Linked DNA regions of Neodiprion lecontei. The protein of the gene in region 2 purifies or fractionates together with the protein of the main gene of each other region. This does not show direct contact. Links are inferred from orthologs where the notes say so. Each region holds a gene or a part of one and is shown on either strand. Other genes may lie near its edges.

Region 1 (4,875 bases), on a different chromosome or scaffold from region 2:
AGGCCCATAACTTTTTGAATTTTTTTTTTCACAAACACTCAACTGTAAGTTCTTCAATCACCAATAAAAAGAGCGTGAAAAAAATGGGTGCTAAAATAATTTTCATTCTTTTTTACACCAAGCCCAATAAAATGCCCGAAAACTAGACCTTTAGACTAGAATACCCCCTTAATTGATGTATGTATTATGGATGGGGGACAGTCCACATTTCATTGTAATATTTTCAGGGATAGCTGCACGGTCAAATATCAGAAGTTATTCGCCATAAAATCTTTCTTGGACAGAAGTAGAGGTATTCACGAACTCGGCAGTGCCAAAGAGATAAAAAAAAAAAGCGGTGCAAATTCAAATACCGATGAATTGCTAAGTACACAAAGGATCAAGCACAAGAGTCAGAAAAAAACTAGACGACGAGCAAGTAATTGAAATTATCAGGGACATCAGCCAAGGAAAAATTAAAACTGTTGCATATTGCTATTTGCAGACTAATTGAAACACCTTCCTGGAACGAAGCACGTTACATACTAGCTTTAGTCAACGATTATTCAAAAAACGTTTTCCCTACTGAAAATGGTCAAGTATTAAATTATAAAACATAATGACTGAAATTCACGTGTAATTTGATACATGATTTATTTTGTAAATTTGTTAAAATAAATAAAAATCTCATAATAAATTACAAAAGCACGAATCGTCAGATATAATAAATCAAAAATCATATAGCGAACTGAATAATTTTTATACGATTTTTGATCAATTGTTTGATTTTTTTTCACTTTGGTTCTCAGTCAATAGATTTAACGCTCGAAACATAACAGTGACTCCTCGAACAAACATTCTAGTGTTATTTGCATGAAACAACACGAATCCATATTATATTCTATTTCAGGAAGCAAATGTTTGTTCGAGGAGTCACTGTTATGTTTTAAGCGTTTGATTCCCACTACACGTATTCGTTTTGGAACATCGTTCATACTTCTTCCGTTAACTATACTTGGTAAACATTATGAAAACAATTGATAACATTTTTGAAATATAACTTTGTTTGGGAACAACATAATGATGTTCGAAGTCGTCGGTTTTTCCGCGACAAACGGCATTTAAAAAAATTATTATATGCATAATTATTGAAACTGATTGCCGGGGATTATGTATATACACACAATTGGATTACAAAGAAAATTAAATGAAAAAAAAAAAAAAAGTTGCGAATAGCGAGATACGATCCCGCGACCACCGGATGACGGGCCAGAGAGCTTACCACTGCGCCTCGCGACCATTGAATTATGATTATCGTAGTAAAGTATTTGAACGTGATGGAATATTTCAGTGTGGATTTTCTCGACAACGACAAAGAAGCGCATGTTAATGCTTTGCCACATTACACCTCTGGCCTTGAGCTTTTATTACGCGCAGTATGAATCGAATCTGAATTTCACAATTGGCTTTTACAGAACCCATAGCGCATGCGCAATAACTTTCTGCATTCTGCTTATGGCTTCTGGTTTTGTGTGCTTCGGCCTTAAGGCTGATTTTTCACGTGCAGCAAACAGCTGAATGCAACCGCAGCAAGAATGCTCTGATTGCTCATCAATTCTGGTGGTTATTTTGTCATCATAAAACAACTAGGAAGACACTAGAGTCGGAGAATGGAGATACTACTAGACCGCAGCGAGGCATCTGGGGGCGAACGAGGAGAATAGAGATGCTCGTAACAAGGTCCCTAGATTAGATCGCTTCGCTCGTAACGGAGTCACACGGCGACATTGAAATGAGGTTTTGTTTTTAGACCTGATACAAGACCGCGATGCCACCTATACTAGGGATCAACTTTCATTCTAGTTTCTTCTCCTTCTACTCCATGCTCGGTACTTTACTGTGCTAGTCAAAAAACCTACTGCTAATTGGATCGATCACTTACAGTGAAATTCACTTTTCGAAATGTCAAAATGCGTACGTGTTAATATTCAACATGCAATTATGTGTCATCACCATTACCGAATAAATTAGGACCGGTCTAACCAGTGTTTACAGGATTTGACGATCAAGCACATCGTTTACGTGTTATTCCGAACATCCGTTTCTCATTAAATAACGAAAATTATCTGCCAGATTACAGAACTTGCGCAATTCAAGAGTTCGTATCAGGCAGTCTGCCAAGAACTTTGAAGTGTCTGCGGTGTCAATATCAGTGTTTTCAAACAGTTGGATTTCCATTCACAGTCCGTAAGGTTACTACTTGTCGTAATTTTTAACTCTTCGAATCATTTATTATTTACTAAATCTAATTCGCTAAAACATAACCTCTGCTGATAGATAATTTTTCGTCGCTTTTCATATGGGTAATTTATAGATTTAATTAAATTCTGTCAGTCTTATTTTCAAGATCATCACCTACTCGTTTTCAGTAAATCTTATCAGATTTCGACGTTTTCCTAATCCCAACGTTGCGAATTCATTGTAATATCTGTCATATGTAGAGTCTCTTCTCTTTCATTTTAGCTATTATACTGTAAATATAATTAACTCTACACTCACTCAGTAATCATTGCAGTGGTGTAACATTCCCACCTTTGAAACCACTTTTCTAATCATTATTTTGATGCATAAATATGTAACATCCATTCGTCACCTATAATATTTACCAAATCAAGAGATAATTTAGAGCACCGTTGTAGATTGAATAACTGCTGATCCTTATCTATTTTAGTAAAGAATATCAGATTGAATAAGAAACATAGTCATAGTAATAAAGTAAGGCTTTTTTATCAAGGCAAACCAAAATTAAAAAGAATAGCAGTCTAGTTGCACAAATTATTACGATTGCTGCCTTGAATTTAGTTTTGATAGTACAAGTTTATTCTGAAAGTGCATGCATGTAACTGCAAGCTCTTTTTATCACAATGACATTACCAACTTATACCAAGTTTAAAAATAATCTCATTGTATGTACAACTGATCAAAATTGATAGTTATAGTCGATAAATTTATGATAATACCGATATTTTTCTTACAGGTCATTTGACATTTGCAATAAGTATATTGTCAACATTGTTTTTTATACACATATTTGCAAATTATTATTTATCATCAGTTCTACCCAAGATGGTAAATAAATTATTTATCAAATATTTGGAAAGATAGACTATAAAATTTCAAAGTTCTTCAACGAAGTACATGATGCACACAAATCGAGGTGGATTCTGACCAATTCAAGGCTGCCAGTGTCGTCTGCTATTTATGTTAAATAGTTGGTGGCAGACAACATTGGTGGCCTTGAACAGATCAAAACTCACCTCGCTTTGTGTACATATCTCAAAATGTTAAATACATGGGAATATCAGAAAAAGCGGTAAAAGCTTGGGAATTATTAAGATTTTCTTTGAAAAATAATTTCTTACTTAAAATCCAAGTCATTGTATAAAGCGTTTAGTAAATACGTTAAAATCATTTGCAATGCACATCATTTGAATGTGAAATTGTTTAAATTTCAAACTTTTCAATCGATCTCTTTTCAAGATCATCGCGGACGTTTGTCAGGACAAACAGAAAGACCGGAATTTCTTAAAAAATGTATTTTTTGGACACTAGAGGTCTGAAAACATAGATTCATTGAAATTAAGATAGGTTGTTCTCGATCAAAACCAATATTTCTCTTATATCATTAGAGGTGATGAACAGTAAAAAAGCAATTATAATTCTCAGGGTATCTTCTGCCTCTTAAATTTACCTACCTAAATCCTGGAATTATTTTGGGACATAAATATTGCTTCTTAGGTATGGAAAAGTCTGGAATACTTTTGTTATAATTTATTCTGGAAAAGTTAACATAATACATTTTTGATTGAATAACCACAACATTTCGTTTGCAATTTCCGAAAAAGATTTATATTAATAATTGTGGTTTGCATTGAAATTGACATCATACCAAAAAAATTTATTTGACGTCAAAGGCATATCATGATAAAACAGTATAAAGTACCATGAAATACTATAGTGTGGCTAAGAGCTACCATGAAATATTCGTGAAATATTGTAAAATGGTCGTGAAATATATGAAATACTGTCAAATGGTGTGAAATCCTACGGAAACTCAATGCTATACCTGTATGCTATGAAATGGTTGTAAAATGGTCAGGATGCAACATTGTCACGTAGTTGCCCACACGGTTAAAACTGCAGTCTCATGATGAATTTGTATTTTGAACGCCAATTTCAATCAGCTTGCAGTGCAGTTGATGAGGTGAAAGTTAATATCGGTGTAACAATGTATTTTTTGAAAAACTCATCATATTTCAGGCTTTAGAATTTTCCGAATTCAGGAAATCGTGATAGAACATCGCATACTCAATTATTTATACTTTGTAAATTCAATGTGCTAGATGCCGTGAACCTTACCGTTTCCATATTTTTAACGATAAATATCATTCTGGCCTATATGCCGCTCCAGCAGTCATGTCAAACTGCACAGTGTAACATGATATACATGCGATTGACGGAATAAAATTGAACAATATTATTGTTTGATATTATCATCGAATTTTATGTTCTTCGTTTCTCACCAGATGTCTTTTACTTTTGAATAGAATTTGTTATTAATTGCAAATACTTTTATTTGAAAATTACTGTCATATTACTAAGTGATGGTGAAAATTTGAATTAATTTTGTTGTTCAATATATTAACTTCACAAAAAAACAGTTGATGCTATTCAATGAAACAAGTAAAGGCAGAGTTTATGCCAAAGTATGTTTTTAGATTTCTTTGTAAAGCAGTTTACTAATATAATTCGTTGTTCGCTTTTTCGAAAAGGAGCTAGCTGAGATGAGCACCGCGAAAGAACAGCCCGGGCCGTCGAAGCCTTCGGGGTCAGCGC
Region 2 (4,668 bases):
TTTAACCAATGTCGAGTCAAAATTTCGCAGAATTGTAGAGGAAAAAAAAGGCAAAATATACTCCGTACTGAAATCGACTCTTGTTTCTACAGACTGTAGCAACAAGCATAATTATTATCTAAATGGCGTATTTATTGTAGATATACTCAGGTTATAACCCGTTATCGTAAATGGGACATGGCTGTACCACTTTTGATGAATGGACAGTACAACATTTTTTAATAACAGCAATATTGCACGCATAATTATTATTGTTAGTATAATTTTTTCAACAGTCTGAAGATGTGTGAAAAATCTAACGTAGTAGATAAACTTAAAATGATAACAGACGCGAATCTTTTTAGCAATTTATAATATGAATTTTACTCTGGTTCGGTTTCATTGCTTTATTTTTTTTTTTTATTTTTCCTCCACTTTTTAAGATTGTATTTATTTTTATCGTTTGATAATATTATTTACTCATGATATACACGAGCTTCTTTTATTTTCTGAGAAAATTATTCAACATGTTTTCTCATATAGCAATGAACAGACCTGTATATGTAAATAACAGTCTTTCAAGCCAATAAATAAGACTTATTTCAATAACATACTGATAACGACAGCGAAATTGTTACAGTAATTAATTGTTTCCTCCATTGTAATTCCTGCAAAAAAAAGGTATAATTTCAGTATACTTTATTCGGCGCTAGAAATATTTTCGGCAAATATACTCTTTGTTTAGTTCTTACACATTTTCAATCAGTTCGTAAGTTAAATAGTAATGTCGGGTCGATAACTCAAATTCTACCTATCGCTACATGTTTGAAACAGTTTGTCTTCTTGTTCAAAGATGTCTTCGCAAATTGGCTACCTTGTAGAGCTAATGTTGAAACGTCATCGAAAAGTGCCTGACCAGTGCTCGGTAGGTAAGTGAGCCCAGGGCCATAAGAAGCCCTGCCAACGATCCGGTAGCTTCTTTATCGGCGGGAGCCGCTTACCACGCTATCTCATGAGAAAAAAAAATAAAATAAAACTGCAGTAGCGGTCTTGGTTTTTCACGGGTAGCAAAATTCTACCGTAGTATTTTGTTCCCGACTTTTTGATCAATAGGAATGCCAACACATCAGGGAAACGCTACGTAGAGTCTCTATAGAACGAAGTCTAGCGCTACCTGGTGCGCGCTGAATGTAAACTACCTGTTTTCTTAGCATACTTGAAGGAGAAAATTGCAACCGCAGTATTTTGCTGCGCATGAAAATCTAGACTTCAACAATCTTCAGTCAACGGCGTATTTGAGACTTGAATTCCGATATCAAGTAATTGTGTTTTTTTGAATTTTATGTAACCACAACGAATTCCGTGTGATCATCAAACTGAAACAACGTTCACGGATCCTGGAAATTCACTTGAATCACAGAATTTTTCCGTTCGTCTGAATAACGATCTACTGTTTCATTCATATTGCATTTAGTACAATGCATCTTCCCGCCTCAGTCGCTTCGAATAGCGCCGTCTTAGGTTCGACAATAAAAGCGGTAGGTAGCGCTACCTGTACTGAGACGCAGGCGTCCTTCCCGTCGGTAAGTTACCGATCGATCATCGCCCGGCACCCCGCCGCTGCGGTAATCCGAACGATCCGCGCCGAAAGCTGCCTGCCGCCTAGATCACAGCACAGCCTCGGGATTGGTCTGACCGCAAAGTGAAAAAGATGCGTGTGCAGTGTGCACGGGTACCGAGTGTCAGCCGTGGCACGAGAAGCCTGAAGGTTGTCAGTCGCGTAGTCGCGATTCCGCGGCCGAAAATCCATCCCCAGTTGAGATAATAATCCCGGAACGGATTTCACACCGTATCGGTGAAAAATTAGTGCGTGGCGGGTGCAGAGTTCGGAGTTTCGCAACGTAAGGTTACAATTCCGTCGATATTATGTCAGCAGCCTCGGTGCTGCTCGTAGCGAACTGCTGTTAGGATCCAGGAGAGTTAAAATTCGCCGACTGGGTTACGACAGAGGTACGAAAATTGGTGCGGTATCAACGCGGAGAGTGATAAGAAAAAAGAAAAAAAAAAAAAAACAACAAAACTCGCGCTGCTTGACCCCTGATTACGTGCATCGTATAGCTGGCAATTTATTGGTTATGTGTCGCGTAGATTTGCCGTTGAATTCTCTAAATCTCTCCTCGGTATCGAAGAAAAACTCGGCGTTGCAAACGCCGCTTTGCGCGTGTGTGTATGTCCCCCCTCCCTCTCTCACTGTCCCTGCTTTCATGCCTTTCGTCCTTCTCCTTTTTTTTTTTTTTTCCACCCAATAATCACCCGTACGTATCACACAGGCAGGTAATCCTGGGAGGGGCGAATACTTAATTTTCTATATTAATACAAACTCGAATAAATCTTCCCCCCCCCCTCCGCAATTCCTAGATCCGCGATTATATTTATGTCCGAACAGCAGTCGGAGTGAAATGACGGACACATGTAATTTCCGTATCCTATAAATGATCAGTCGATGTAAACTTCGATGTGAAGGAAAGGATTTACCGTTGATTTAGTTTACAACCACAAGTCTCGCATATTATAATATTCATATGTGAATAATGAAATTCGATACCGAGACAAACAAACAAACGAGATATTTCTTTCCCTCCTTCCATCTCTCTCTCTCTTTCTTTCTCTCTTTTTCTGTCGACGACTCGTCTCAAATGCTTTCCCCGGATCGCCCTCCTTTCTTTTTTTTTTTTTTCACTATCCCCCCCCTATTTCCCCCCCCCCCCCCCCCCCCTTCCGCGTTCTCTCGACCTGTCACTTCTCTAGGTATATGCCGGACCTGCGTTTCTGTTCATCGACGCATTGACCGCAGTGCCGAGTGCACGCACCGATATATCACAGTTTGTTTTTGTTCGTCGTCTCTGTCTATTAGTTTTGTTTTATTTACAAACGTCATATAATTTTCGTCGTTGTTTTTTCGGTCCTGATCTCCGCGGTCCGAAATTACATCTCCTTCTCGGTTAAGTAGTCTTAAACCCGGTGTTACATAACCTCACTATTTCGAGTCGCGAAGCCGGTCGTCATTGTTTTTTTTTTCTTTTTTTTTTTTTTTCTCAAATTTTACCGGTATCCTATCAATTGAACCTCGTAGCGCGAGAGCCTGATTCATAAAGTGACAGCAGTGATATGTGAAAGATTCGTGTAAATGTCATAACTTTTACATGTTGTTTTTTCCCCAAATTTTTTTTTTTTTTTTTTTTTCACACCGTTTCGAATATTCAAGAATCGGTGTGAAAAATTGAAAAAAAGAAAACGAACAAATGAGTAGCCCAAAAATCAAAGGAGTTGTAGTAAACTGAGTAGTATACCGTACAGTCAGAGTAATTTTTTGTCGCATTCGATTTCAGGTTTTTAAACTCTACCGGTGATCGTCGGACGTCGAACATACATATTAATAAATTGGGGAGTGAGTGTTGGTGTACCTAAAAATAACTACCCGCATCTATTACGAAGCGCCGCATCGACTTAAATAAACATTAAAAGCAAAGCAAGATCAAGGAGAACGAGACGCAGAGAGCCAAAAATAAAAAAGCAATTCGTCAAGTTTACAATTGTAGTAAAATACCGTGAATAATTGCCGGCGTACTTAAATATTGCGACAACAATCGTGTTTCTTTCAACCAGGTGCACGCAACTCCGTGACGACCGAGAGTAAAAAGTTAACCGAGTAGAAAATATCGAAGAAAAAGAAAAACAAGCGAGAGAGAGAAAGAAAGACGAGGATCGACGAGGTGATCCAGAGAACCAAGAGAAACGCATTTGAGGTGAAACCAGCCTGTAGTGAACGGTGGTGGTGGTTGTGGTGGTTGTCAAGTAGTTGCACTTGACCCAAGTGCGATTAATTAATTGTAAAAATAAAAAGTAAAAATGCCGATGGTTTTTCTCGACCGCTTGCCGGTCCCGAGCTTACGCGCTTACACCTCGATAAGCATCGCGATATTGTCCTGTTCGATTTACTACGCTGCACAAATCGTCAAGGATCCAGGATGGCGGAACAATCATCCGAACTCCTTGGTCGCCGCTGTGGGAAACGCCACCGACAACAATGCATCGGCCATTGTCGATTCCAGGACCCTCGGTGTTCACATGAGGGAACTTTTTGCCTGCATGGTTCAGGAGCCGGGATGCATATGGGTGAGTTTCACTCGACACTTGTTTTTTTTTTTTATATATCACGAAGATTAAGTTAGTAACTCAACTTAAGCTAGCGTGTTTAGGAGAACTCGTTGGAAAATTGGTAGACCTTGGTGAACAAAACATACTCGTATAATTTTGAAAGCAAACTACTTGAACGTTATTCGGATGTTGCGGAGTAATGATTGATACTAACTTCAGTCTTGTCCTTTTTTTGTCATGTTGAAGTTGGGAACGTGTCGTGAAGATTCATGCTGAGAAAAAACCGTTAATTCGTGATTTTGGAACTGTTTGAAACTCAGTAAACCGTTATAACAGAAAACATACTCATATTTCACAATCTTAGTTGCTTAAAAATCATTGTAACAAATAAGAAATTGACGATTTTATCCCCAGTGTTTCGTGAAGATAACGTTCCTAACTTCAACCTCGTTCAAGTATGAGCATGAAGTTTAAGTAGCGTTACTGTAACGATGCTTGTTAATGAAAAATCGCTACTTCGTGTCTTTAAGA
Region 3 (6,736 bases), on a different chromosome or scaffold from region 2:
GATAGAGCCCGACTGTAGATTAATCAGCGTTTAAGGTAATTTTAGAGTATAGCGCCGCAAAGTAATTTAGTGTTCTCAGATTCGTAGAGTGTCATTTTCACCTCCGATTTATGGTTTCAAATTTGATTCTTTTTATTCTCCCTATGAACCGGAGTCTATCTCATCTTTTCAGATTTTCGACAGTCCGATTTTAATACATAGCGTCATTTTTAATCCGGTTAATGTATCAGCCGAACGGTCACGCCCCACGCACCACTCACACTGCCTCTTTCTTGATCGACCCGCGGCTTCAAGCGCGGCTTCAAACTCATATGACAGACGCCATTGTACACACAGTAACTTGTTTCAAAAAATATCTAGCTCGATATTCAGCCACAACGTCAGATAACGTTTTTAAATATTCTTATTTTTCTTCCTTCTTTTTTGCTGTTGGCTATGTCCCTTACGGCATTGTGCCAATATACAAATACCGTCATCATCATCATTATCATAAAAATTTTAATTATATTTTTAAGATGCATACCTACAGCGTTTTTCACTGGCTCTACCTTGGCCCTAGAAATACCTATAGACATGAAGGAAGCCCTGGTACACTCTTCCGTATGAGCGGAAAACGATATAGAGAGAGAAGTAGTAATGCTACATCCTTTCTTTGTCTCGCAGGATCCGATTGGCCGACTCTACTGATCTCTATTAGCGTTTTCCACTGGTTGCACTGAGTGCGCACTGGTTCGAACAGGGGGCACTCGTTCCGTGCATGCGTCGCCCGGCATCGGGGCAAACCTTCTGAGTGGAACGCCGTAAAACGTATAAAGGCAGACTAGATCATAATTTCTCCTAAATCACAAATAATGTGACGTTACTCGACCGACTGCGCGACTATCAGTTTTTTCAAGCAAGTGATAAAGAAACCAATTGAACAAACGCAACGGTAATTTTTTGTTTGTAAATAAATGTCATAAATGTTAGGCACGAGCATACAAGGGCAAAAAAAATGGACAATTCCACTGAAAAGATAAAAATTAATAAGTAGCAAGTCAAGTTGTCCCAATCTCCTGAAATATACCTAGCAGTTAACCTCTAAAAGCTGAAAAAATGTGTTTCCATACTTCGATATCGGACATGCTGTGGATTACTCCTATGAAACTTAAAATTTTGGGAATCTCTCCTCTATCTTTCGGCTCCAGCAAGTCCATCATCACTGCTAGACGAAGATGAAATTAGATCTAATAAAAGAGTTGCTGTCACAGCATCTACTTAGACTCTTTCACGATCGGCAGCCATAATTGCACTGCTTTGACACCGACTCCCGATTTCAGGGCAATATTTTACGCACTCAGTGCTAAATTCACGCACCCGAGCTGCCAGTGGAACACGCTGGAAATACAAATCTACCGGTAGTACGCTCTCAGTTCACACTCAGTGCAACCAGTGGAAAACGCTATAAGTGGAAAACGGCAGTACATGCTTTAGAAGCAGAGCTACTCACGAACTTGGAAGCGCAAAGGAGATAAATGGTTGTTGGCAGCACTGGGAGCTAATTTCGGAACGCACCATTTCTTTCATCATCACTTAAGGCATGGAAAACAAGTAGGTTTCTTCTCTTGGTATAGTTTAGATCAACCGTGTCTTATGCATTAGCCAATGCTGCAATTTCGGAGTAATCGTTGTCGGCAGCGAAGTGGTGGATTTTGTCATCTGACGGTTTAATACACAATCGTCGCGGTTTTTGGATTTGTGCCGTACATCAAAAAGTGGTTGAATAGATAATACGGTGCAAAAATGTCAGAACTGAGAGAGTGGTTCAATGCCCAGCCATTATTTACTAGATGGTGGCTTCTTTTATCCGTGGGATGCTCTCTTTTGGGAAGATTCGGTATTTTCAGTCCGGAACGACTCGTTTTATTCTACATTCCATTCGTTCACAAATTCGAGATATGGAGAGCCGTTACCAGCGTATTTTATTATCCCCTTGGACCAACAACTGGGTTTCACTTTATGATCAACTGTTATTTCATCTACAACTATTCTGTAAGGCTCGAACGTGGCGAGTATGATGGACGACCAGCTGATTATTTCTACATGCTTCTGTTTAACTGGGTTTGCTGTGTCATCGCTGGACTCTTTGGAGAATTCCCACTTCTCATGGACCCTATGGTACTCAGTGTACTCTACATATGGTGTCATCTCAACCGAGACACTATTGTCAATTTTTGGTTTGGTAAGAAAATAGATGCATAAGACTTAATGTCGCTCCTTATTTTCAAACTTGTTTTACTTAATATTGATCGGCAAGGTTAGCTGTAATCGTACACCAATTTATTCCATAAGTTACCCAACACATTCCCTGTAGAATAATGATATTCTAGTTTGCTGTGTTAATGTAACAAACGTAATGGCAAAATATTTAGCTACTGCAGTTGGTTGAATGGTTTACAAAATGCCTAAAAAAAAATATCCAAATATCCAAAACCCAATTTGAATTGTTCCCATATTTTGAAAGTCCACAGGTGTAAAAGTTAGCGTAATGGGTCAATAGTCTATTGATTTTTTTGATTTTCATCATTCTTAAAACAATTGATTGCATTGGGAATTCTAAAACCCTATTTGTTTGATTTTCGAAATATGCTGCATAAAAAAAAAAACAGTTTTGTCGTAGTAAAGATTGGACAATTGGGCGATTCAAATGAATTTTTTTTATTTTATAAATAATTTCATTATCAAAGCATGAAACAAGCAAAAATCTTAAGCAAAAACTTGTAGTATCTATCAAAGTGATAATAAAATTTTCACTCTTTTCTTTATCAGATAGCATACTTGTAAATAAAAGCTACATTCACTATTTATTCATACTACAATATCGAGCAGGATTTCTGCCGTGTTTTGTCACAGAAATGTATGACCTATTATCTTGTGTTATTCACCTACTGTCCCGATTTACTTATTTTAATGTGGAGTTTAAATAAAAAAACAAGAAACACAGAAAACAATGTGATATTGTCATTACAGGGACGCAGTTTAAAGCAATGTATCTGCCATGGGTTCTCTTTGCTTTCAATCTTGTGATATCTGGCGGTGGAATGTTGGAACTGGTTGGTATTCTAGTGGGACATTTGTACTTCTTCCTGAAGTTTAAATACCCTCAAGAATTCGGAGGTCCAGATTTATTGGCCACACCTCAATTTCTCGAGGCTTATTTCCCTCCTTCAAGACTCAGAGGGTTTGGAACCGCTCCTTCACAAAGGGAACCACAGAGACCGGGCAGAAATATGTATGGTGGTTATCAATGGGGACGTGGCCAGCCTCTCGGCCAGTAATCAAGGTGTATACCTAATTAAACCAAGTTTACATCTGTATATTTTATGAAGAGTGAGTGTACAAGTATACCAAGAAACTGGGAGTAAATGAAACATACTATGTACAGGATGACACCGGACTATCGCCCCATAGGCTACCCATGTGTTCCTTGTGAAAATCTGAGGTTAAAAAATTTTTTACTTTTTTATAGAAAATTTATTCTTTATAAATTACAACCACTTCACATTAGCCAATCCAGTAGCATTTAATGGCTCAGAATAGGATTGCTAGGGCTGGCGAAACCCCATTTATTTGTTGTGCACTCAGCAGCTGCCCTGAGCCATCAAGTGCTATCGAATTGGCCAATTTCAAACAGTAATTTACAAATAACAAATTTACTATGAGAAATATCATTATAGTCGCAAATTTTCATGAAGAATACAACGGTAGCTTATGGGGCAATATTTCTAGATCACCCTATATACATACACATATGCATGTATATATTCGTGTATACGATATATATTTCTGAAGATAGATAGTTTTTTTTCTACTTTCTCAACTTTAAAAATGATAGAGTTAATTTAATGCAGTATGAAAACATTATTTCGAAGTTGCCTGATTAGTTTTCCATGGTAAATGGTGGTACAATTTGTTATTTGAAGATAATTAAGATTTATGGGAATATCTCAATGTTGACCTGTTATATGTTGATAAAATTAATTATATCAAATTTAATAATATACCTACCAGTTTTTGCTCGAGTGCTTGCAAAGTAAGTTTCTGGAACTAGAGAATTCTGCACTACAGTACTTCCAACAAAAGATAGTTCCTTTCTTCACTCTGATGGTAAAGCACATTTAATAAATACAATAATGCTCAAATAACAGGGTCAGGGTAACCGCTGGCTACTTATTGTGAGTGAGTGGGGGTGGGGGGGCTCTGCATAATTAAGTAAGAAGTTATACACGGATCAGTATAATTAGTATTTATGTTTGTCGAATGATTACTAAAATGAAGCTTAGCATTGAGATTTTGTTAATCGCTGCTTGTCAATTGTGAAAAATTAAATGCAATCTTGTCATTGCATTTTCAATTGTTAAAACAAACTTTCGATTTAATGAATCAATCTGATTTAGAAAATATGCGTATTGCTTTATATTAACATCAAAGAAGGTAGCAATTTGGAACGGATCTCGGAAAACTTGTCTCGTTCACTTCCTGGTAAATACCTACTTATATTGGACAGTTTGAATGAATCTAGAAAAATACACAATGATTTTAAACGATATATCACTTACACGTATTTATGTGTACCAATATCATATGAACATTAAGTGTCAGTAATAATATTCAGGCTGGTGACAGATGAGGAAGACAGGGAATTATGGTACTCCAAACGTAAGATGTCTTTTTCAAAAGTCTTCACCTTCAATATTCAACTTGTTTTTGACAAATTTAACAAATAATTCTGTACCACATGTCAGTACAGTATTGTAGACTATTATTTAATAAGATAATGGCAATCAAACAAAACTGAATGCTGGCCTGTGTACAGAAAGCATAAAAAATACGGCAGGAAGTCTGGAAATTTGATATTTATCTGTCTTGTCACCGCTATGAAGTTTTTGCTGTATCATGTACATAAATGTATATTTTATTATAAATATAATATATTAGGTACAGAATTCGTGAATAAACGTGGATATCTATGTATGTTTGTCACACATTATATACAAATGTACAGGTATTGATCCAATTGTTTATCAAAGCAAACTTACTTGCGTTATATACAGGGTGAGTTTTCTCCGGGGTCTGATCTAGGAGGAGCTTGGATATGTGAGAGTCCGCCTTCTTCTATTCATACTCGTCCTGTGTCAATGCTTGTATCCCGCTATCAAAACAATCCCTCATGTGAGTAGATTGTATTTCGGATGTGTGCTATACGTGTGGACGTAAACAGATTTAGAGATAAGCGTATCTGCTCTATAATCACACACTATTATTTTGAAGCGGACGAGTATGAATAGAAGTCGGACTCTCAGCACATCCAAGCTCCTCCCAGATCAGACCCCGGAGAAAACTCACCCTGTATATACTATACATATAAGTTGCTCATTTTATTCTTGAAATTCTCATGCAATAGTAGTTTTTGAACCAAAGCCAGAAAGTTGTATGGCTTTGGTGTGAACATTATTTTTTTTATGTAAAAGCCGTAAGATACGCCATTATGGTCGCGTTTTCCGACCCTACAGTTGAACTTGTGCTCAATTGAACACGTCTCTGTATAAGGTTCAATTTTATGGCAGCAAAATGCAACCATACTGGCGTACTTTATGGCTACTAAATTGAAAAGTTCATAACATTGGCATCTGTGATAGTCTGCTACGCCAAACTGCGGACAGCGCTTGAACCATCAACAGTGAGGTCATTCTGATAGAACCAGCCAATAGAGCCTCTCACTGACCCTACTGGCATCAATTTTAATTTTCTCCACCTGACAGCGAGATGTAGGCCACGCCCCTACCACACATCCAATTATGTAATATTTCGTTCTTACGCCTCAAGACTCAAATTCGCCAAGCTACATGCACAGCATCTGTTCTGTATCGTTGAACGCAGGTGGTTTGATGCCAGGGTGTGGGACCACTCGTGTTGAATTGTGATAAACCGGCAACAGCTATCATCACTCCATTGTCAATACAAAATCGTTCGTCAGTTGCATAAAGGGTAGCGTTTCTTTCCTCACACATCTCAGCCATCATTTTCTGCAGTCTTAAATTACAACCGACACCACCAACTATAAGAACTTCGTGCGATCCTGTGTGTGCCATAGCTCGTTCTGTTAGATAAACAAAATAAACGGTTTGATGTCAAGTTAAAAAGTTAATGCATTTTTTTCTTGTCAGCTTATTTAATTACCTGTTATTTCTATCAACATTGCAAATAAAGTTTCTTGTAAAGAAAAGCATAGATCTGCGTTTGTATATTCGCCATTCTTCAACCATTTGGGTAGTCGTTCTTCAATGTGACTCAAGATACCAGAAAATGACACGTCCATTCCTTTGACTGTATATGGCAGTGGCGCCAGTTTTTGACCTCTGTTGAAATAGAAAATGGCATTCATTAAATGAATGAAGAAAAGTGTCATAATTAGCAGAGATGTGTCAGAAATTCTCAATCTTGAGTTACTAGGCATGCATAGTACTCGTAGAGAAAAAAATGCATACGCAAATTTGAAACATAAATTCCGCATATGCTCATGTACATAGTTTTTTGGAAATACGGACTTTTGTCATTGAAGCTTATAAAAAAATTGACTAACCAAATTTGCAAAAGTGTTGGCAAGTGAATTTTTTGGTTGCAAACCCGTTGGACCTTCCAGTGTATGAATGTCGAAGAATTTAATCAAAAAATGTAATTAAACAGAGTAGGTTAC
Region 4 (5,402 bases), on a different chromosome or scaffold from region 2:
TGCGAATAACGTATGACAGACGCTAAAAGTGCAGGAAACATACCTCCTCCTCTTTGTAGTGCTTGGCAGCTATTTCATCATATGCGATGTCAATATAATCAACTTCCCGATGAATAAGTTCCACAGGAGTTAAATCTAAGCACTACCCATTGACTAGATATTAGAATCAATGATTGAAACGGTGACATATATATCATTCAATATTACAAGTGAATAACTCACGTTTTCATTTGAGCCATTGTTGTTTTCGTATCTAGTATTGATAGATATGTGAAATGTGGGTATGAACGAACACTGAAATACAAATACACCCGTTGTACAATGCATAATGGAATTTTAATGAAATTTAATGCATAATACTCACTGTGTAAACTGTGAAGATCACCATTGCCCCATGTAACAAAATATTACATATTATTTTATTTGCAGGGAATGGAAAAGTGTTCCAAAACAAATAGGGTATGGTTTATATGTTCTAAGGTACTTGGGAGTGATTCGTTGCAGATTTGAATTGAATCACCTTTAATTTCCAACAAAAGTTGAAACATCTCACCCGTAATTGTGAAAGGATAGTAGTTCCAAGCTTTTTCAGTAATGTAAAATATCTTCGGTACAAATGATTGGATCCAATACGGTAGTTTACTGAAATGAAGGAGGAGAACAATAACGGTTGAAATAACATAAAGGCATGGAAGATTGAAAACGATATAGAAAACTGCTTCATTATCCATGGATCAAGAATATATTACTTTGAAAGATGAATCCTCTTCTCAGTAAATTGACCTGTTCCATGAGTGGCATGTTCGCACGGCGACGTCTCAATAACTTCGACACCTTCATCGGAATCAGATTGCTCGTGACTGTGTCGCGCAATCATATACAATTGTCCGATTTGATACTAAAATGATAAACGATGAGAGAAATTTTGGAATTTTATTTTCTCCAACATTACTTGGCAAATACTGTAACTAGGTCCTTGTTACGTGAACCGATATTTGAATTCTCACTCGCGAAGGAATGATTGCCGATGCATCATATTTGGATAAATATATTCGATTGATTGTGCGATTATTCATCCAAATTAAATATAATAATATACGCAAATCAACATGTTTATATAGAATTGCCTATAATCGTTGTAACAGTGATTTTATTCATAATTGATTCGTGCATAATTGAAAAAAGAATTTAAAATTATAATCTCATTACCTCGTCCGTGGTAAACGGCATGCATATCCGATATTCCTTGGTCAACACCATTCTAATCACGACAAGTTATAAGTTATATTTAATCTGACAAGATTAGAAGTTAATCCTCCAATGTGAAATTAATATTTTTCAGTTATAAAATCGTAATGTAAATTGGGAAAATTTATAGCGAGATACAATTTTCGAAACTATGTATACCGCAAGTACAACATACGTGGTCTGCTTTGATGGGACAAACCATAGACGACGAAACACCATAAGATAAACAAACGCGAATAGGACGAAAATGCAGCCTACTTCAAGCCGCGCTTACCCCATCTGAAAAGCATCGATACATCGTTACAGCTGATATCTGATATGCAGCTCACTTCGCATTGCCACACACTGCACACGTAATGTATGTACGTACATACGTGTATATTTATATTACGTGTACCAAATTGAAGTGACTGACAAGTTTTTCTGTGATGTGGACAATGATTACGTTATGATAACGCGAAAGGATGAACGACATGCAACTGTAAAATAGGAAAGAGAATAGCCTGTCAGAGGGTAGAAATATAACCGTCGTTAAATGGCTTATCAAACGTTTAGGCAGGAATACCTGCAAATGCCCGTGGTGACACGAGCGTATACGACTGCTTGTGTCATCACGACTCTAGCCGTGGTATACATACGTATTTTATTATCTTCGTACAAAATTTTCCGTCAGAGTTCACTCGATTCTCGATATTATTCAGATTCCATGTTACCCCCGTGATTACTGCACTTTTCAGTATTGACAAAACGTTCGTCATTACTGCGAGGTTAAATTTGTGTCAAATTAAATTTTTATTCTTTTTCTTACAGCAATTGGACCTCGTCTCTCCATTCCAATTATACTTCAATCCGATTTTAATACTGAAACAATATCAGGTAATTTTCTCAATCAGTTTCTACGTTAGAAAATATAAATATCGTTCCACGGTGAGTTAATATCTCTCTCTTGTTAATTATACCTTTGCAGTTATGGCGACTGATCACAACTTTCCTATTCTTCGGGACGGTTGGATTCAATTTCTTCTTCAATATGATATTTACGTATCGCTATTGTCGGATGCTGGAAGAAGTCTCGTTCCGCGGTAGAACCGCCGACTTTGTTATGATGTTCATATTTGGTGGCATCTGCATGATTGTATCCTTGTCTATGAACTTTTCGTCTCCGTTTTATTTTATTATTGTATCATCCGCATTGCTCTAGTTGAGTATTATTCCTCAAATTCTTACAGATATTCGCATTTTTCGTTAATTTATTGTTCCTTGGCCAAGCACTCACCATCATGTTGGTGTATATATGGTCAAGACGGAATCCTTTTGTCAGAATGAACTTTTTTGGACTCCTCAACTTTCAAGTACGCTTGCAGATAATTAAATTGGAAAAATAGAAGGAATATCGATTTTGATGTAACAGACGCATTGTAATTTTTTCCGTTCTACATAGGCGCCATACTTGCCTTGGGTGCTCTTAGGATTCTCCGTTCTATTAGGCAATGCAATTTGGGTTGATTTGATCGGAATGGCAGTAGGACACATGTACTACTTTGCTGAAGATGTATTTCCACGACAAAATGGTGGTTTTCGCATACTCAAGACCCCGCAGATATTGTGAGTTATTCAGATTTATCTACTGTCTTCAAATTAAGGCTCTCACCAAAGGTTAGGTCATACTTCTTATAATAAATTTCTGTGTTCAGAAAAACTCTGTTCGATGCACATACGGAGGATCCAAATTACACACCGTTACCTGAGGATAGGCCGGGCGGTTTTAACTGGGGTCAAGGTGCTAACGTGCAATGATTCGCAGACAAATTCGCCGAATTAACACCACATTATTATCATCACCCGAGCGTTTCAAGTAAATCCTTCAGTTATTTTTTTGTCGTATATAACAGTTACTTTAATTTGACATAATGCTGCATATTTTTTGAAGATATTTAATTGTAGTTTAAGTGCTGGGTATCTATGGCATATCCACTCGAAACAGTTGCAATTGTTATGCATGCATCAAACTTTAATGATTTGAGGGGTTTTGCTGAATATTTACAATTTTTAAACCAAGAAACCCGTGCTTATGCAATATCTCATTCAGCATTGACATTTTCTAAAGCTATTCAAAAATTGAGTAATAACAGAAAACTACTTGAATGAGTTCCTGCCGTCACTCTTCTAGAATCACTAGATCAATCGGAAGGAAAATCTTATATTCCAATTATCAAGTTAATTTTACGTACAAGTAACATAGGTTGTTATGGTAAAAGGTATGATTGAATGATCGAACGATGCTCTGCTACCATAGTGAGATGACATTAAAGGCATTAGAAAACAAGTTTTCGCAATTTATCATACATGCAATTCTCAAATTATATAATTAGATGTTGGTAGTAAACTTGAATGGTCGTTTGAAAAACCTGTTTAAAAACATGGCAAGCGTTGGTTTGCATCTCAATTGTCTATGTAAGTTTCGTCATAATATATTTATATTTGTGTAAAATGTCTTACTATCTGTGATTTAGCTATAAAAATAAAGTATCAATTAAAATTCTCCAGGTGAAATGAACTCAGAAGTTTCTGCATCGGATAATGTCAGAACATTTCTAAGGCTTTTAATAATGATAGTTGTGAACTCGTGCGCATAATGTCTAACTAGAAGTAGAATCTTTCCGATTAACCATTGGGGCTCAGCTACAAATGTAAGCAGTATATTTTATTAATAACAACGGTCCATGACTATGATTTCTTAAAATCAAACATACGGTGCAGAAAATTATACATCCAATTCTCACATTCTTAAAACCATTTCCCAAAGATCAGCTTTAATATTCGTACAATCAATAGTACCTTTTCAAAATATTTAAGTATTATCGTAAGCGTTTAATTTATTGATACCTCTAAACATATTGTTTTTGCCGTCAAACGTTTTCGAATGTACAGTTAACCGAAGTCTATTATCATGTTTTCAAGAGTGCTATTCCTTGAATACTTGAAATAATTCAACAATTTGTCAGACTTTCGGAATGAGCTATTTAAATAACGCTTTTGTCCACTATTCATTTACGTTGGTAGAACGTTCATTGTAGAGTAAACGTTAGCCATGTGTCTGAAATGAATTCATCAGAGTGAATCATGATTTGAAAAATCATTTATTTAGATTTAAATAGTAATGGGTTATAATATTGGGATAGAATGATGTGCAACTTAATACATATATGCAATGACATGGACTATAATACAATGATCGGGGCTCTATTATACACATTTTTTAGTTATATCGCCACTGTTGCTAGAAGCACCGTGATATCATCTGGTTTACCACCTGTAACAAACAATGATATTTTGTTGTTCATGTTCTCTGAAGTGAAAATATTGCATGAAAATTTCGCAAGACCAAAGTACGTGTTGAAATTGGTTCAAGAGTAAGCGGTGGCTGCATTTCATGCCCAGTACTAACCTATAGCATCTATTCCATTTTCTCTAGCATTTTGGGCAAATGGTGACATAAAAGCCCCGTCGAACGCAAGACTGCGGGCCATCCAGGCTATTGAATTGGCAACACCCTGCAATTTCGTAGGATCACGCTCTCCTTGGACTTTGCGCATCTCGGTGACTAACAACTGGTCAGGTACATTGTCGAAAACTCCGTCAGTTGCTAAAAGAATAACATCCCCATCTTCCACGCCAAAGCTGGAAGTGTCCGCAGCTTCGGGCCTATAAAAATATTACTAAACTTGTAAAATATTGTCGGGTTCAAACTTCTAGCAGGGAATCGGCATATCATACACGCATATAATTGTTTGTATTCAAAGTTTAGATCCCAAAATTATAATCCAATTGTAAATAACGTGAAGTTTGTTAAAAAGAGAAAGAAAAAAAAAAAGAATAAACATATAATAGAGAATAAATGCACCCTATTTATAATTATTCAAAGTGTAATTATTATGTCAACTGTATTTGGGATTCGAAATGGCAATTAATGAAAAACTAATTAGTTGTTACTGCAAGTAAAAATTAATTGTCTCTCACCTGTCGCTAAGTACCAACCCACTGTGGCCAGGAGGTGGTGACGACAATTGAAACGGAGTGTTGAAGTAGTGCTGCTGTTCCGATGAACGATGCACTACTTCTCCTCTCCTGACAACCACAAATCCGCTGTCTCC

Evidence for each region.
Region 1: the proteins of E3 ubiquitin-protein ligase AMFR (region 2) and E3 ubiquitin-protein ligase RNF185 purify together in Homo sapiens (affinity purification with mass spectrometry; 3 studies listed by BioGRID and IntAct, with this or other methods). This does not show direct contact. The link is inferred for Neodiprion lecontei from reciprocal best matches to the Homo sapiens genes AMFR and RNF185.
Region 3: the proteins of E3 ubiquitin-protein ligase AMFR (region 2) and derlin-1 purify together in Homo sapiens (affinity purification with western blotting; 4 studies listed by BioGRID, with this or other methods). This does not show direct contact. The link is inferred for Neodiprion lecontei from reciprocal best matches to the Homo sapiens genes AMFR and DERL1.
Region 4: the proteins of E3 ubiquitin-protein ligase AMFR (region 2) and derlin-2 purify together in Homo sapiens (affinity purification with western blotting; 4 studies listed by BioGRID and IntAct, with this or other methods). This does not show direct contact. The link is inferred for Neodiprion lecontei from reciprocal best matches to the Homo sapiens genes AMFR and DERL2.

What each region holds. Positions count from the first base shown.
Region 1 is NC_060262.1:22,953,087-22,957,961, forward strand, and holds the start of E3 ubiquitin-protein ligase RNF185, read left to right. Parts: upstream 1-1,860; 5' UTR 1,861-1,941; coding exon 1,942-1,953; exon of another isoform or gene 1,954-2,342; intron 2,343-4,811; coding exon 4,812-4,875. UniProt on the Homo sapiens protein: E3 ubiquitin-protein ligase that regulates selective mitochondrial autophagy by mediating 'Lys-63'-linked polyubiquitination of BNIP1.
Region 2 is NC_060260.1:39,792,694-39,797,361, reverse strand, and holds the start of E3 ubiquitin-protein ligase AMFR, read left to right. Parts: upstream 1-1,667; 5' UTR 1,668-1,880; exon of another isoform or gene 1,881-2,001; intron 2,002-2,849; exon of another isoform or gene 2,850-2,980; intron 2,981-3,096; exon of another isoform or gene 3,097-3,162; intron 3,163-3,368; 5' UTR 3,369-3,888; coding exon 3,889-4,155; intron 4,156-4,668. UniProt on the Homo sapiens protein: E3 ubiquitin-protein ligase that mediates the polyubiquitination of lysine and cysteine residues on target proteins, such as CD3D, CYP3A4, CFTR, INSIG1, SOAT2/ACAT2 and APOB for proteasomal degradation.
Region 3 is NC_060262.1:20,812,235-20,818,970, reverse strand, and holds derlin-1, read left to right. Parts: upstream 1-1,623; 5' UTR 1,624-1,782; coding exon 1,783-2,221; intron 2,222-3,009; coding exon 3,010-3,317; 3' UTR 3,318-5,867; coding exon of another isoform or gene 5,868-6,139; 3' UTR 6,140-6,187; downstream 6,188-6,736. Other genes in the region: probable tRNA N6-adenosine threonylcarbamoyltransferase, read right to left, coding at 5,868-6,139, 6,220-6,398. UniProt on the Homo sapiens protein: Functional component of endoplasmic reticulum-associated degradation (ERAD) for misfolded lumenal proteins. Forms homotetramers which encircle a large channel traversing the endoplasmic reticulum (ER) membrane.
Region 4 is NC_060263.1:3,016,651-3,022,052, reverse strand, and holds derlin-2, read left to right. Parts: upstream 1-1,626; 5' UTR 1,627-1,783; coding exon 1,784-1,876; intron 1,877-2,058; coding exon 2,059-2,124; intron 2,125-2,215; coding exon 2,216-2,383; intron 2,384-2,477; coding exon 2,478-2,600; intron 2,601-2,689; coding exon 2,690-2,853; intron 2,854-2,942; coding exon 2,943-3,045; 3' UTR 3,046-3,103; intron 3,104-4,369; exon of another isoform or gene 4,370-4,511; coding exon of another isoform or gene 4,512-4,561; intron 4,562-4,696; downstream 4,697-5,402. Other genes in the region: cytoplasmic phosphatidylinositol transfer protein 1, read right to left, coding at 44-142, 223-294, 365-372, 521-642, 750-898, 1,210-1,261, 1,424-1,467; protein phosphatase PTC7 homolog, read right to left, coding at 4,512-4,561, 4,697-4,953, 5,269-5,402.